2 linked regions of the Rhinolophus ferrumequinum genome follow. The protein of the gene in region 1 purifies or fractionates together with the protein of each later gene. This does not show direct contact. Links are inferred from orthologs where the notes say so. Each region holds a gene or a part of one and is shown in the gene's direction. Other genes may lie near its edges.

Evidence for each region. Proteins that work in one complex are often made in the same cells at the same time.
Region 2: the proteins of ATP2A2 (region 1) and CANX purify together in Homo sapiens (co-immunoprecipitation; 3 studies listed by BioGRID and IntAct, with this or other methods). This does not show direct contact. The link is inferred for Rhinolophus ferrumequinum from reciprocal best matches to the Homo sapiens genes ATP2A2 and CANX.

Annotation. Positions count from the first base shown.
Region 1 is NC_046308.1:6,031,984-6,039,787, forward strand, and holds the start of ATP2A2 (sarcoplasmic/endoplasmic reticulum calcium ATPase 2), read left to right. Parts: upstream 1-4,716; 5' UTR 4,717-5,254; coding exon 5,255-5,372; intron 5,373-6,084; coding exon 6,085-6,102; intron 6,103-6,201; coding exon 6,202-6,284; intron 6,285-7,804.
Region 2 is NC_046307.1:2,866,846-2,874,930, forward strand, and holds the start of CANX (calnexin), read left to right. Parts: upstream 1-4,987; 5' UTR 4,988-5,171; intron 5,172-7,889; exon of another isoform or gene 7,890-8,019; intron 8,020-8,085. Other genes in the region: CBY3 (protein chibby homolog 3), read right to left, coding at 4,403-4,702. UniProt on the Homo sapiens protein: Calcium-binding protein that interacts with newly synthesized monoglucosylated glycoproteins in the endoplasmic reticulum. It may act in assisting protein assembly and/or in the retention within the ER of unassembled protein subunits.

The DNA of each region.
Region 1 (7,804 bases):
AGCACATAAATATGTATTTTTCTTGTAACATAATCCTTAAGCTGGCTGCATCAGGTGCTCAACCAAAGCAATGGTCGGTTCTAATGCTGTATAATAAAGTATTATGGGAGATAAGGAGGCGGCAGAGTGCCTTATAAGATTTTCACTTTCCTGACTTTGGAACCTATGGTGAAGTTGATTTATGAGATATGATCAAAAAATACGGTGAATATTTAAATGAAAAAAATTATTACAGTAAAAGACACATTGCCATTAATTCCCCTCAAAATGCTCCCCCTCGCTTCGAACACACTTAGCCCATCATTCTTGCCACTTTCTGAAGCGGTTCTAGAAGTCCTCTTTTGTGAGAGTCTTTTTAGTTGCTCTTTTATGGCTGCCTCGATGTCCTGAATCATTTTGACTTTGGGGAAGAGCCACAAGTCACATGGTGCCAGACCGGTGAATGAGGTGGATGAGGACACACCATAATGTTTTTATTTGACAGAAATTGCCGTACCAGAAGTGATGTGTGACGGAGAGTTGTCATGATGGAGGATGATTTACAGCACACTTTAAAACACACCTTCTGACAACCATAGCTCACATCTGACAGACTGAACAAGTTGAAACTCGTCACACACAGTTACCAAGGTTCAATGCACCGCTTCCTGTATTGAAGGTCCCTGCCTTTCCGTGGGATGGTATTTGGCAACAGCATTCACCATATTTTGTGATCACAAAGAAAAGTCTCCATGTCACACACCGCTTCTGGTACAGCAATTTCTATCAAATAAAAACATTGCAATGTGTCCTCATCTACCTTATTCACCAGATCTGGCACCATGCGACTCCTGGCTCTTCCCCGAAGTCAAAATGACCGTGAAAGGTAAACGTTTTGAATCAATTCAGGACATCGAGGCAACGATGGCAGCTCAACTCAAGGCACTCACAAAAGAGGACTTCCAGAACTGCTTCAGAAAGTGGCAAGAATGATGACTTATCCCATGTTCAAAGTGAGGGGGAGTATTTTGAGGAGGATTGATGGCAATGTGCCTTTTACTGTAATAATTTTTTTATTTAAACATTCACCGTATTATCTGATCACAACTCGTACAGCAGTTGAACAACTAAATCCAGGTGATTGGTTATTTTCTAATCTGGAATGAATGTCTAGAAGTTCTATTGGGTAAAGACATAGAAGTCATAAGTCATGCTTATCAAATTTGTGTGTCACCCAAACCAGAACATATAGCTAAAACATCACTTGAAGATGAAGACTCCAAAAGACCACGACAAACGGCAAAGATGGGCCAAAATGAACACAATAGTCAGAGTTCAGTGCCTGGGTTAAAAAAAATTCAACAGTTCAAGGACACAATGGGAAGATTTCACATGACTGCAGTTTATATATACAGAACTCAGTGTTGAGTTGATTGTTAACACAAATAAATGGTGTGAGGAGCAAGCATCCAGCACAAAGGTGGACAGTGATAACTCCACTGCGAGACTGCCTAGAGTTTTGTGTTCCATATTGGGTGTCTCCAGGACTGGACAAGGAGGATACTGAGGGGTTGCAGACTCCTGCTACAGGAGGAACAGCTCAGGGACCACTGTTCTTTTTAGCTGAGAGAGGAGACTTTTATAAAGCGCAATAGATATCTTGAAATACTTAAAAGGATCTCACACAGAGGAGGAATTAAACTTATTCAGAATTGTTCCAGAGGGCTGAACAAGAACCAATGTATAGGAGAAGCTAGTGGGAGGTGGATGCAGCCCAGAATGAGACTGCTTTCATGATCAGAGCTGTCCAAATATGGAACAGACTGCCTTTTGCAATCTCCATCGCTTTACAGGAGGGCTATAGAGGATTGGAAAGTTGGCTCTGGCCTTTTTCACAAAGTCACTCTTTCTACTGGGCCTTTTCTGTCTGCCAGGCTTTTTAAACTCGCCTGCTTATTACCAGCTAACGTCCTCCTTTATCAATTCCTTTCAGGTTCTTTGATCAAATCATCCATCTTTCTGAATCACAGTTTCTCTTCTCTTTCCTCTCCCTGTACTCAATTAATAGACTGTAACTGCAATCCTTGGTGAAAGTATTTCTAAAACCCATTCTTACTGTTTAACCTGCACGAGAAGCATAGGTAGTTCATAAAATAAACTGGGCATAGGTTTATTTCTACATAGGAATGACTAGATCTTTCTGCCTGTGGGAGTCTGAGTTTATGCTTAATTTTGGCAACCTAGAAACAACACGTGTCAGAGACTCCAACAGGTTGAGGAACCAAGTGCATAATTGGCACGTGATGTAGAAGGGGCCAAAGCCAAGCTAAAAATCACAGTTTCAGTTAAAGGGAGTATATCGACTTCCAATGTATAGAAAAGACTGGCAAAGAACAGTCTAGAAGAGTGATGACAATGTGGTTACAGGAGCAATGTGAACCTACATTACTTATCTCCGAGAAACCTATAATGCTGCCTAACTCTGTTTTTGTTTGAAATCCAACCTTTACAACCATTCCCATGAGGCAAGTAGTTCCTGTTGATTTCACAAATTGGAAACCAATGAACTTAAGTTCAGCAAAAATTTGCTGAGGCATTCCCAAGGCAAGGCCTTTTGCAAGTCACTGATAGGTCAGGGATGGTGGGACTGTTTCATTCACACAGGAGTTCAATAAATGATGAGTGTATAACGGGAACTGTACTGTGTCCTGAGGATGGACAAGCTAGACAAGCCCCTGTTCTCATGAAGCTTATATCCCAGTAGGGAGAGACAGGCAGTAAACAGCTAAACAAAAATACAATATCAGAGATAAGTGCTGTGAAGCAATGAAAACAAAAACATGACAGGGAGGGTGACTGGGGCGGGTAGCCACGTTGTCAGCCAAGACATCTCTGAGGTGACATGCAAGCTGAGATCTGAAAAAGATGAAACGAGGCACTCAAAGATCTGGGGAAGCACATTCAGTACAAAAGCCGAGGTAGGGAACCCCTCAGGAAGCTCATAATCACACCAGAGGTGCTTATAACACTAAGCAGAGACCCAGCCCTGGAACAGAGACCCAAACTCAAATACCCAAGGTAATTTCTGGGATGAGAAAGGTTAATGATCCCCTCTGCCTATAGTTCTTCCATTGTTGCTGAAAGAGATGAGATGAGGCAGAAGAACTGGTAAGAAATGGTGCAGACCTGGTCTCAGAGGGAAAGGAACCATCAGCCCTCCATTACCACACCCCCACCATACAGTCCCGGTCCCTCCTGGAGGAGGCTCCAATCCTGTGACCTAACCAGTTTCCACCGTGCTTCTCTTAATGCATTGCCATACACTAGACTTCTGTTTGTTTGTTTGTTTCGTGTAGGGTTTTGTTGGCCCTTTTCCAAGTATCAATCAAAACTGCATGCCAGCCTCCACTCCTTGGAAATAATGAAATGACGTGCCTGATTTTTTCATCTGGGTAATGCACTGTAATTTGCATCTCTTGAAGGAATTTATCTCAAGTCCTGAGGCTGAGCCATCTGGGACAACTGAGGTGATTTTTGTTCTGCTTTGGCTCATGTGGATGGTACAGTATTGCCAAACACAAAAGTGGACTAACTGCTTCATTCTGCGACACACTTCCTTAAGAAAGCTGTTCTTTGTGATGCGAATATGTTCACTTTTTGTTCATGAGTTCAAGCCCTGTTAAATAGTCTAACTTCTTTACATTGGGAAATTCCCTTTATCTTGCTGTTACCTAGGTTTTGTACAGATCTCAGGGGCAAATCATCTGTGGATTAAGAATAGGTCTTGGATTAAAGACCCTTTTTCGCCTATTGGGGAAAGGGGAGTCTAGAAAATAGCCTTGATCTTAATACCCAAGAGAAGCACCTTCTAGTACAAATCTCACTGCTACACAGCAGGTACAGTAGCATAACCTGTGTCTTCTACGCAGGCATGTATCGAAGGCCGTGTGGGCTATTAAAAAGAAAACCTCCAAAACAAAACAAAACAAAACCTTCCTTCTTTTCCCCAGAGTGGGATTAACTCAGTCAGGGCCCAGAACCCGCTGGGGAAAGGCTGATGTCTGCGTGCCGTGGAGCCCTCAGCTGTGGGTGTGGGATGTGGTGTTCCTGAGGCTACAGATGAGGGATTTTGGCCTTGTGGGAAGTGAACTGCGGAATTCCTCCCCTTGGTTACTGAGGCGGGGCTCCGAAGCAGACAGATTAGGATGCAGAGTGCGGCCCTGGAGATTGAGAGCGAGGGGGCGAGCCAAGGACACCAACCAGAGCGCGCTTCGGGAGCCCTGTGCGGACCAAATTCCCAGGTTCCTTGGCCTCGCCTTCCCAGCCATGCACCCCGGCCTGAGGCCGACCCTGAAGGGCAGGCAGTTCCCTCCGGGCAGCGAGTGCAGGGAGCCCACCTTGAGGCTCCCACCCTTCTGGATTCTAGTTCTTTGGGCGGCTGGGGATCTAAGGCCGCACCAGCGGAGGAGCGGGCCGGAGCTCGCGCCCCGTCAGCCCGCGGACCACAGGGCACACTGTGCAGGCACCGCTCACAGCAGCCTCGATCCGGGTTCCGGGGGGCGGTGCGCGGGAGGGGCGGGGCCTGCGTGGCAGCGTGGGCGCGAGCCGCGCGGGAGGGAGGGAGCCGGGGAGGGGGCGGGGCCGCGCCGCCCGCGCCGCGCTGGGCCCTCTCGGCCAATGAGCGGCGTCCACATGCCGCGGCGGCGGCGAGAGGGGAGGCAGCGACGGATAAATGCTATTAGAGCAGTCGCCGCGGAGCCGTCCCCGACGCCACCTCCTTCTCTTTCGCCGCAGTTTCCTCCGCCGCTGTCGGGGGAGTAGAGCTGAGGGAACTGGGCGAGCGCGCTGTGCACCACCCCACCGGCTTGCAGCCCTTCGTTCCGCCCTCAGGGGTCGGCCGGGCGCCCCCTCCTCTGGTCCGGGCGGGGCCGCGAATCACCTCAGGAGAGCGGGGAGGGGGCTAAGGGGCCGCGGCCTGCACTCTGGGCGGGCGGTTGAGGGCGAAGGAGACCCTCCCTTCTGACGAGGAGAGTCGCGAGCTCCCACCGCCCAGCTGAGCCCGGGGTGGGCGCCGGCGAGGGCTAGGCAGCGAGAGGAGCGGTTGTCTGCGGGAGGGGGCGCGGGGTGATTCAGCGCCCCGCGAGGCGGAAGCAGCCGGAGGAGGAGGGGGAGAAGCCAGTCCGCGCCTGGGCGCCGGAGGTGGCACGAGCCCGCTGTCCGAGTGCGAGGCGGAGGCTTGGAGGCCGCGGGGACGGGAGGCGAGGCCCCCGCAGCCATGGAGAACGCGCACACAAAGACCGTAGAGGAGGTGCTGGGCCACTTCGGTGTCAACGAGAGCACGGGGCTGAGCCTGGATCAGGTCAAGAAGCTCAAGGAGAGATGGGGCTCCAACGGTAGGTGCCCGGCGCCGGGGCTGCAGGGGCCCCGCGCGGCCCGGCGCGGGGCCGAGAGCCAGGGAAGATGGCTGACCGGGCCCCACCTCGTGGGTCTCGGCTCCGAGCCCGCCGAGGGCTGCAGGCGGCGGGTCGAGCCCGCGCGTCGGCCAGGCGGGAAAGGGGCAGCATGCGGGGGGCTCCGGATCGGGTCTGCGCCTGCTCTCGATGTCCTCGCGGCTCGAGACCTTGACCTTCCCCGCACGCGGCCAGCTCCGTGACTGTCACCAGCAGCAGCCGGCCCTGGTGGAGGGAGGAACTAGTCTCCTGAAGCTGGGTTGAGTCCTGCGAGACATTTTCTCGTCCCAGCCTGTTTATGAGGCGTCGTTGTAGTTGAGAATGCCTCTGACCGTTCTTGCACTACCCAAAGTTACACATCTGGCAGAAGTGATGACATAGCTGAAATGACTCCTTGTTTCGGGATCCCTGTTTAGATGGCAATGAGATTTTACGCTTTGGGGTAGACCTAAGGCCATTGGTTACAAGTATTGCATATTTTTGGGGGGTACCATTTTAGTATGGTTTCCATTAAAAATGATAGAATGTATATATATCTAGGTACGTCTTTCAAAGATTGATAAGTTTTAGCAATTCTTTTTTAGAAATACAGAATGCTAAAATGTTTTTTCCCCCCTCTTGACACGGTTGCTTGGCGAATTTCTACATTCTACAGAGTTACCGGCTGAAGAAGGTAAGTAATCTTAAAATGTCCCATTCTCCACCTCCACCCCCTCCCTTTGTGTGCTGAAGTTAATATGACATTTACAACAAATATGTTTGTTTCTAATAGGAAAAACCTTGCTGGAACTTGTGATTGAGCAGTTTGAAGACTTACTAGTTAGAATTTTATTGCTGGCAGCATGTATATCTTTTGTAAGTATGAAGCAATTCATTTTCTCTCCAAATAAATAATGTCTATCGGGTGAGAACATTATATTTGGAGGTTTAAGCTGTGTCTCCATTTTTTTTTTCCAAACCTAGATATTTTAAAATTACAAACAAAACACTTGAAGCCATTCGTGAACAGAAAATAAATGGCTGCCTGATATTTACAGTGCAGTTAGAAATTATTCCTGAATGTGGCAGGGTCTTACAAATTCTTGTGGTTTATCAGTTTTTAATAACAAAAAGTTCTTTATTGGAAGGCCTTTTCTGTTTCGGGTTCTTCAATTGTGTAAGATCATACTAAGATGATGTTGGGCTCTTTGTAGTCTGTAAATAGAACTTACAAAAGGAATATTCCAGTTGCTCTCCTGTCCTAGTAATGGCAAGGTGACAGTTTCTGACAGTGACAAGAATGATGACGGCAGTGATGGCACCACTGTTGACCAAATTTGGTCACTGACCTTTAGGGTGGTATATTTATCTAAATTGGACCCCTGTCTTGAGTGACTCCTAGGTTAAGAGAACAAGGTTCAGTACAGTTGGTTCTAGATCTTAAAAGAGGAAGAAAAAAAATTGTGTTTTTTCTTCTTCTGTATATACTTGCCCGCTTGAGTCCTGTATGGTTGCTAAGAAACTGGTGAAATGCAAAGAACTACTGGAGAAGAAAGGTGATGGGGGTTGGTGAGGATATTTCTAGGTTATTAACATTTTTTTTCTGTTCAATATTTTTTATTGCCTTTTTTTCTTGGGCAATGGACTTCTTGGTAGTTTTCCTAAAAATGGTCATGAATAGGACACAGATGTTCCTAATCCTAACAGCATGAGATGCCTTTTGTTCTTAAATTACAATATTTTATTCTTATAAAAACATGATTGGAAGCGAAATTCACCCAGTGCAATACGTTTTTCAGGCTTCACAAAACCTACACAGCTTCAAGGTCTCGTTTTTATGTTTGTATGTATGCAACCAGGGATCTACCTCAGTCTTTGACAACCATACCATAGAGGGCTATTTTGAGAACTGAATAAAGGAAGCAGTGGACATTTTTTTAGGTGAGAAAAAAATTGGGAAGAGGTGAACTTTTTCTGGAGTAATTATATACACAGATACTGCCATGAGAATCTGCCATTTTAGCCAAGGGATGTGTAACTATTAATCAATCCTTATGAATCTTTTCAGTGATATTCATTGAATAAAATATAGAGTGATGTATCAAACATTCAACATCCTGAATTAATCACTCGATACCTCTTACATGTCTGTTCTGAATTAATTTAACCCCACAACCTCCTCGCCAGTAAATGACTGCTGCTTTAACCAATTAAGAGAAAGGAGTAGATCTGTTTGATTAATAAGTTTCAACATATTGTCGTGGGGCAAAACAAATTACATATTTGGGCTAGTATAATATTTATATTTAAGCTGGCTACGTAATTCTGAAACTGTCAGCTCTGGTAGTTGAAATACTGGGGTTCAATACGGTCATCAGGGACCTCTTAGAAGTTAA
Region 2 (8,085 bases), on another chromosome or scaffold:
ATGCCCCCTGCAACTAAGACTGAACACAGCACCTTGAGCTGAGCTGCCGCTGAGCTCCCAGATGGCTCAGTTGGTTGGAGCGCATCCTCTCTACCACAAGGTTGCTGGTTCGACTCCCGCAAGGGATGCTGGGCTGCGCCCCCTGCAACTAACAACCGCAACTGGACCTGGAGCTGAGCTGAGCCCTACACAACTAAGATTGAAAGGACAACTTGACTTGGAAAAAATCCTGGAAGTACACACTGTTCCCCAATAAAGTCCTGTCCCCTTCCCCAATTAAAAAAAAAAAAAAAAGGACTCGTGTACAAATGTTCATAGTATCATTACTTATTATAGCTGAAACCTGGAAACAATCTAAATGTCCATCAGCTGTTCAATGGATAAACAAAATGTGGTATACCCATGTGTGGGGGTCCAGAATGAGCCACCCCAAGAAGTGCCTCAGTGGTATACAGAGTACTTTGAGCTAAAGGCAATTTTAGCTTCAGTCTCAGAAACTTCTGCCCCTCTCTTTTAACTACCTAGAAGAATTTGAATTAGAGGCCTTGTCCATAAGCGATTATCAGAAATAACTTCTTTTGACCTATCTATAGGGCAGGGCAGACTTCTATTTATTGAGTGCCTGCTCTTATCATCCTGCAATGACCCTTTGAGGTCCGGAAGGCACCTTACATCATCCCTTGCTCAGGGTATCTTATGTATCTCAATCTCCCTTTCTATCTCTGAACCTCTCCTGTATATGGGGCTCCTATACATATGTGTGCTTTAAATTTTATTTTCTCTTGCTAATTTGTCTCATGTCTATTTGATTATTAGACCAGCTGATAGAACCTTGAGGGTAGAGGATAGTTTGTGCCTCCCCCACACATGCAATGGAATATTGTTCAGCAATAAAAAGAAATGAATTCCTGATACATGCTACAACATGAATCAACTGCAAAAACATTATGCTAAGTAAAAGAAATCAAATAGACCACATATTGTATGATTCCATTTATATGAAATAAAGAAAAGGGAAATCAATAGACGGAGAAAGCAGTTCAATGGTTGCCTGAGGTTGGCTAAGAGTTGACTGCAAATGGGTACACAGGAACTTTTGGGTGATGGAAATATTCTAAAATTGGATTGTGATAATGGTTGCACAATTCTATAAATTTACTAAAAAGTATTGAATCTTACTTACAGTAGGCAAACTTTATGGTATGTAAATTATATTTCAATAAGGTTTAAAAAAATGATGTAAGGTGTTAAACAAAAAACATTTCATGGCCAAAATCTTTTCTGAAGGAAGGGGTTTATTGAGCCAAAACACTAGTCAGAAAAGGACCAGGTCCTGCGCATGCACTCTGAATCACCAACAGCAGGGCCAGACGGAGAAGGCAAGATGTCTACAATCCTGGGGTAGATGGGCTTTTATGGAAACAGTTTGGGGAAGAAACATGTATGTTGTTTTGAAAGAATTTACATTGGCTTTAGATAAAAAGAGTGGGAGATGGTGACGCGGGAAGAGTTCTGGGTTAGGTGCAGAATCTGTAAGGAAGACATGTTTGCTCCTTTAGACTGATGGTGGGCAACAGTCCAGAAGGTGTAAGCAAGAAGTACTGGTGACTGGACATTCTCTTTAGATAATTGTACAAATAGTCACCTGGAAGTTAATTCAGTTTCAACATATACTCAGGAATGTAAGCAGTTTTGTTGGTTTTGCCCTGCAGTTGTTATTTGATTAATCGCTCTTGTCTCTTCCTTCCACCCTTTAGTGTGCTGTAATTTAATTTAGGACATTTCAGAATTTTCTCCTTGTCAGAGGGCAGAATACAGACAATTTTAGATGTGCAAGATTTCAAAAAAACTAGTACACAGTCTTTCTCAGGAAGCAGCCGGAGGACGTAACTACCAACTGAGGTAGTAGACCTCGAAAAAGGTTATTAAAGGAAAATTAAAACATATGTTTATACAAAGAGTGGTACACCATGTGTATGGCAGGTTTATATCATATAACCAAAAATTGGGTGCAGCCGGGTGTCTATTACCTGATGAATGGATAAGCGAACTGTGGCACATTCATAGGATAGAATATTACTCAGGAATTAAAAGCACAAATGATTCAAAAGCAACAAATGGCATACTTGTACAACAGAATGTTACTCAGGAATTAAAAGCATTCAATGTTAACATAGATGAGGATCTGAAAGGTGTTGCAGTTTCTTTCCCTTCACTGGATCTTCAATGGCACCTTTGTTAAGCTCAACAAAACTTCAGTTAACATGCTGGGGGCGTGGAACAATATATTGCATGGGGGTACCCAAATCTGAGGTCAGAAATGAATGGATCTATAAGTGTGGTTATGGCAAAATCAACAGGAAGTGAATTGCCCTGAGATAACACTTAGACTGTTCCGTCTCATGGTAAATATGGCATCATCTGCATGGAGGATTTGATTCATGAGATCCATACCGTTGAAAAACCTTCAACTTCCTGCGGCCTGCAAATTATCTTTTCCAGGAGAAACCGGATCGACAGGTTTATTAGAAGGATGAACTGAGATGATTACCATGATTATTTTTGTAATTTGGTCAGTTAATAAACAGTGACTGCTTTCAAATTGAGAGGAGAGGAGAGGAGAGGAGAGGAGAGGAGAGGAGAGGAGAGGAGAGGAGAGGAGAGGAGAGGAGAGGAGAGGAGAGGAGAGGAGAGGAGAGGAGAGGAGAGGAGAGGAGAGGAGAGGAGAGGAGAGGAGAGGAGAGGAGAGGAGAGGAGAGGAGAAAGGAGAGGGGAAGGGAGGAGCGGGGAGGAGAGGAAGGAAGGAAGGAAAGGAAATCTTATTTCTGTCCTTGGAAGTTTGTCCTTGGCTTCCGCCTTTGAAACATTATGCTTTAGCTGAAAAATCCCTGGCAGGATCCTTTGCAGGTCTTCCAGTCCTGCACTGTCTTGAGCCTGCTGTGTCTTGAGCCCAGACCCAGGATCCCCAGGACCAGCCAAGCATGAATTCCCTCTTTTTGGGGGCTCCACACTTCACCTCCCATCACTTAGGCTCACACTCTTTTTTTTTTTTTTAAACTTTTATTTATTTGTGTTTTTCCAGGACCCATCAGCTCCAGTAGCTGTTTCAATCTAGTTGTGGAGGACACAGCTCACAGTGGCCCATATGGGGATCAAACCGGCAACCTTGTTGTTAAGAGCACTGGGCTCTAACCAACTGAGCTATGCGGCCGCCCTAGGCTCACACTCTTAGTGTTGGCTTTGGTTGCTCTTTCCCTAGCCCCTGAATGCAATGGACCGTTCTTTAGCATCGACAGTTAATGCTTTTGTTTCCATAAACCTACCATTTCCTAATCCTGCACTTTAATCAACTGCAAAAAGTGGCTTCCTACCCAGCTTCACAGCTGCTAGTCTGTCTCTCTTTCAGACCTCCCTGAAATAATATTAAAATAATAATTCAAAAACAATCTAAATTGTGATCCAAATCTAAAAACTCTCCCTACAAATCCTTGGCTAGGCCTTCAAGGTCTGCTCCTAACCAGCTCTGGAGCTGACTTTCCTGAGCACCTTTCTCCAGTTCAAACACTTCCATACATGGTGTTCCCAAACACACGATACCCATTTTCCTGCCTTTCCATATGCTGTTCCCTCATCTAAAGAAGCCTTCCTCCAACTCTCCACCTATAGAAATCCTGCGTATCCTGCCAAGCCCAGCTCAAGTCTTACCTATTTCCCTGTCCATTCCAGGTGAAAAGCAGTTCCTCGCAACTCAAAACCCCACCAAATTCTGTTTAGTACCACCATCTTTTAGCATATACCTTTGCTGGAGTAGCTGTTTTGCTCACATACAGTTTCTGTAACTACATTTTAAGCTCCTTGTTTGGAACATGTGGCATCCAGAATACTATGCTGCCTTGAATATCCACTTCCCCGAGTAAACAAGAAAGCAAAACTCCCTTACGCAAATTTGGGGGCTGGGAGTTTAAGAATATTAAACTCAAGTAAACATGCAAACACCACACTCTAACACCTCTTTTCCCCTACTAGGTGGCATGAGGGAATAAAGCTTGTTCTAAGATAGGTAATACACCTATTGATTCTAGTTTTTTCCATTCTAGGAATCAGCCTCTGGGTATCCAAACAAATGGAAGGCAGAGACCAGGACCCATAAAGGTCTAAGAAAACCTTAGGCTACTTCCATTTCCTGAGGCGGCATATTGACCAGTGAAGATGCGCTAAAAGTGGGCTTCAAAAATTGTGTGTTTGAAATCTTTTACCATTGCACCATCCTTTTCTCTCAATCCTGTCGGGTGTCTGTTGTACTAATTGTACTTCAGGAAACATCACAAATTGAAAGTTGAAAAAAACCTTGCATTACAGCATTCTGGACTCTAGTTTTCCATGGGTAAAGTGGAGGCCGCACTCTGCTAGGCCCAGAGCGATGACTCTGCAGGAACGGTGACGCGTGGTTACACAGCGCTGTGCAGGCAACTGCAGGCCGTGCGGAAGGAGCCGGTGCGGGTTCCGCCTGCACCCTGTCCGGGCCTCGCACTCGCTGCAAGGGGAAATGGCCCTTCCCGATGGTCCGCCAGACCGCCCACTCCTTCAGCCGCTTGCCATTTGCCCCCACAGCGAGGGGAACGGCATGCCGGTCCTGGGGCCCGGATCCAGGAACCGAAGGGTCGAAACTACCTTCGGTTGAAACGCCCGGCAGTCTGCCCATTAAGACACCAGGGCAACGGGGCGCGGGAACGCCTGCCGGGCGGGCCCCGCCCCAGGGCGCGCGCCCACGGTTCCCAATCGGCCGTGGCCCGCCCCTTCCCCTCCCGCCCAACCAACAGCCACTTCCTGTCTCACTCCCAGCCAACCCCCACACTCCACGAAGAATAGCCCTAGGGGGCGTATGGGAAGGTGATTAGAGCGATGGCCACACTGACCAACCGCATTCCGGAGCTGGCGCGGTGGGGGCGGAACTTGGCACTAGCCGTAGCTACTCAGGAGCGAGGGGAGGACGTGGGGCCGGGTTTCGTGCGGCGGTGCTCGCTCGCGAGGTGCAGCGGCAGCCTAGGCCTCTTGGTTCTGCGGCACGTGACGGTCGTGCCGCCTCTGCTGCTGTCTCTCCTGCAGCGTGGGGCCAGGTGTGCGGGCAGGAGGAAGTGCGGGCGCCGCCGGCGGTCTCGGGGAGGCTCGAGGTGAGACTGGAGGCCTACGGGTGTCTTAGGGCCTGTGAAGACCCCGGGGGCCTTGGTGCGCGGCCCCGCGGCCGAGGGGTCGGGCGTGGCCGGGGCGGAGGGGTCGGGCTGGGTTTCGAGGGCTCAGGCCCGGCCCGACGCTCGGCTCCGGCCGTGTGGGGCGAGCCTGAACCTGGGCCGCCTTGGTTGGGGAGCCAGGCGCAGGCCGCGCCGCTGGGGTTGGGAGGCGTGGCAGGTGCCCTGAAGCCTACCTCGACCTCAGCGAAAACCAGCTTCTTTCTATGGCTTTGCTTCCAGGGCTTTCTCAGGCCTTTTGCTGGCTGCCTGAGAAGCCTCGAGGTGGGCTGGAGTAACCGGCTATAGATCTGGAGTGGGATCGGGCTTAGTCACTACCCTTAGTACTGGGAAAGGTGATATCGGACCGACAGACAATATTTAGGACTAGTGTTACAGGTTCAATATTTGAAAATAAAACCGCAGGGCGAAGACTGGCTCCTAGCACCCTGAAGAGAATGTGCTAGAACACGCAGTGGTTGAAAAACTTGTCTTAACATTTTTACCTGTTAGGGGGTGGGGTGTAATCCAATCGCAAATTCACCGGACATTAAAAGCAGGGAAGCACCCAAAAGCTCACTGTGGGCAGGTCGTTTGATAGTGGAGGAACAGGCAGGCCCGAAGCCATGAAATGACTGGCCCAAGGTCATGCAGTTAATTTTATGATCACATTGGGATTATAGTTGAGGGCTAGGCAGTTTTGGTATTAAGGTTAAGGCCCTGTTGCATGGCCTTCATCAGCCGTTTGTTGCTGTGTGAACTTGGGCAATTTACTTACCTTTTGTACCACGTTTCTCCCCAAGTGATGGGTATACTAATACCTGTTGGAGTTATTAGAATTAAATTAAGATGTGTATAAAATAGGACAAAGATGTCTGATACATACTAACTACACAGCAAATTACTGCAATAAATTATAGTCTGATGCTGTTGGTCCTCCACACTGACAGACATCCTACTCTTAAAGTTGGTTAAGTCCTGTTTCCCAGGGCCTGCAGTCATATTTATGGCAATGAGAGGAAAAAACTGGACCTAGTGGATCAACTGCTAAGCATGACACTGAATGCTGGTTGAGGGAAGTTAAACTGAGCTGAATATTAAAAGCTTAGGAGGACAAAGGTGAGCCACAGTTAAGTCTCATTTAGGAAATGGAACATTTTGCTTGATATTTTTAATAAGTAAAAGTTTTTTTTTAAAGGGAAGAATTCTGTTGATATTTAAAACCGTTCTGTAGCTTAGTCTTTTTCCAGCAGTGTCTGAGGGTCATGAATAGAATCACTGCCATGTTGTACATACGTTATAATTATACTTAGAGCAGAGGTAAAGAACCGTGGGAGTTCTGTGCTCCAACCCCGGTGCACAAGCAAACAAGCCGGGTAACGATCATAGAAAGGCTAGGGTGAACTGCACTGGAGTGAATGTATCCTGCAGCAAACATTTTCTGACCTGTTTGAAAATGGGTGTCAGCATCCCTCTACACCTGACTATCTTATCTTAACTCAACAGTTTCAACTAGCACATTATCTTCAAGGACCACGAGCGGTAAACGTTTTGACAAGTTGTTGCTGCAGTTTTGGCAATCAGGCTATTGCATCCTTTTTGTTACAGAGTTCACTATGCCCCGCAAATAGCTTAAAGGGATGAAGTGACAGTTGGTAAGCATCAGTGCATGCTCAAGAGACTTGTATTCCAGGCCCAGCATGGGTAACTAGCTTATGAAATACTTCGGTTAAACATCTTTAAAATGGAAATGAGAAGTCTTCTGTCTACCTTACCATTAGGGGGCTATTGGGAGGGACAGCTAGGATGACGAACATGAAATTACTTTGAATAGTGTAATGAACTGTGCAAACAGAACTGGCAGCTCAGAACAATTCCTAGGAAATACTAAAAGTGCCTGAACAGAGTTGTAAACTATGTGTAGCTTGCTGTTGAACTTTGTCAGGAAAGTGCTGGTTAAATGCTTTGTTTACTGCAACATAATGTACTTTTAAATTAAGCTTAATACTGAGCTATGAAAAGTATTTGGAGAATTTTGTTTTCTAAAGAATTTAGACGATCTTCAGTATATTTTGAGTGTTCACATCTTAAAGCTATGTATTTTATAACGAAAAAGAATGTACTATGGAAAAATCAATTCTCATGTCTGAAAAACAAAATTCAAAACTAAAGGTAGTATGAATCTCTTTTTAAATGGATGAGCATTTACAATAAAGACCACTTGGAATTTTATATACTTTTTCCCCTTTAAGTGCTTTTGTTTTTTGACTAGCACGTGGTAAAATCAGAAGGCACAAAAGGGTAGTAAAAGTAAAACAGTTTATCTGTGACCGGAATCAGATGTCTTTTAACTGCTTCCTTTCTAGTCTAAGATTGAACAATTTTTTATTTGCCTTAAAACTCTAGAGCTTTAGAACCATTAAAATTTAAATGGCATCCCTTGGCAACCATAGTAATAGAGCTCACTGCTGGTACTGAGCATATGCTGTAAGCTGGGCACTTTCGTAAGTGCCTCCCATGCATTTTGTTTATACCACAACCCGAAGAAGTATACAGTGATGTTATTCTCATTTTAGAGTTGAAGACATTGAGGCCCTGAAATGAATAATTCACCCAATATGCCAAGTCACTACCTAAGGAGTTGATGAGTTCCTGCTCATAAACAATACTGTGTGTCTAACCTGTGTCCTTGGACAGTTTGTGTGACTTCTCTTAGTCTTAAATTCGTCCTGTGTCACATGGGGATGATAGAACCTCCTGGGATTTTCGTGAGGATTAAATCAGACAACCTAAGGTATTTAAACCCAGAAAGACTTTAAAAAGATGAATGGGTAGCCTACATGAAAGACTGCCTCCTCAC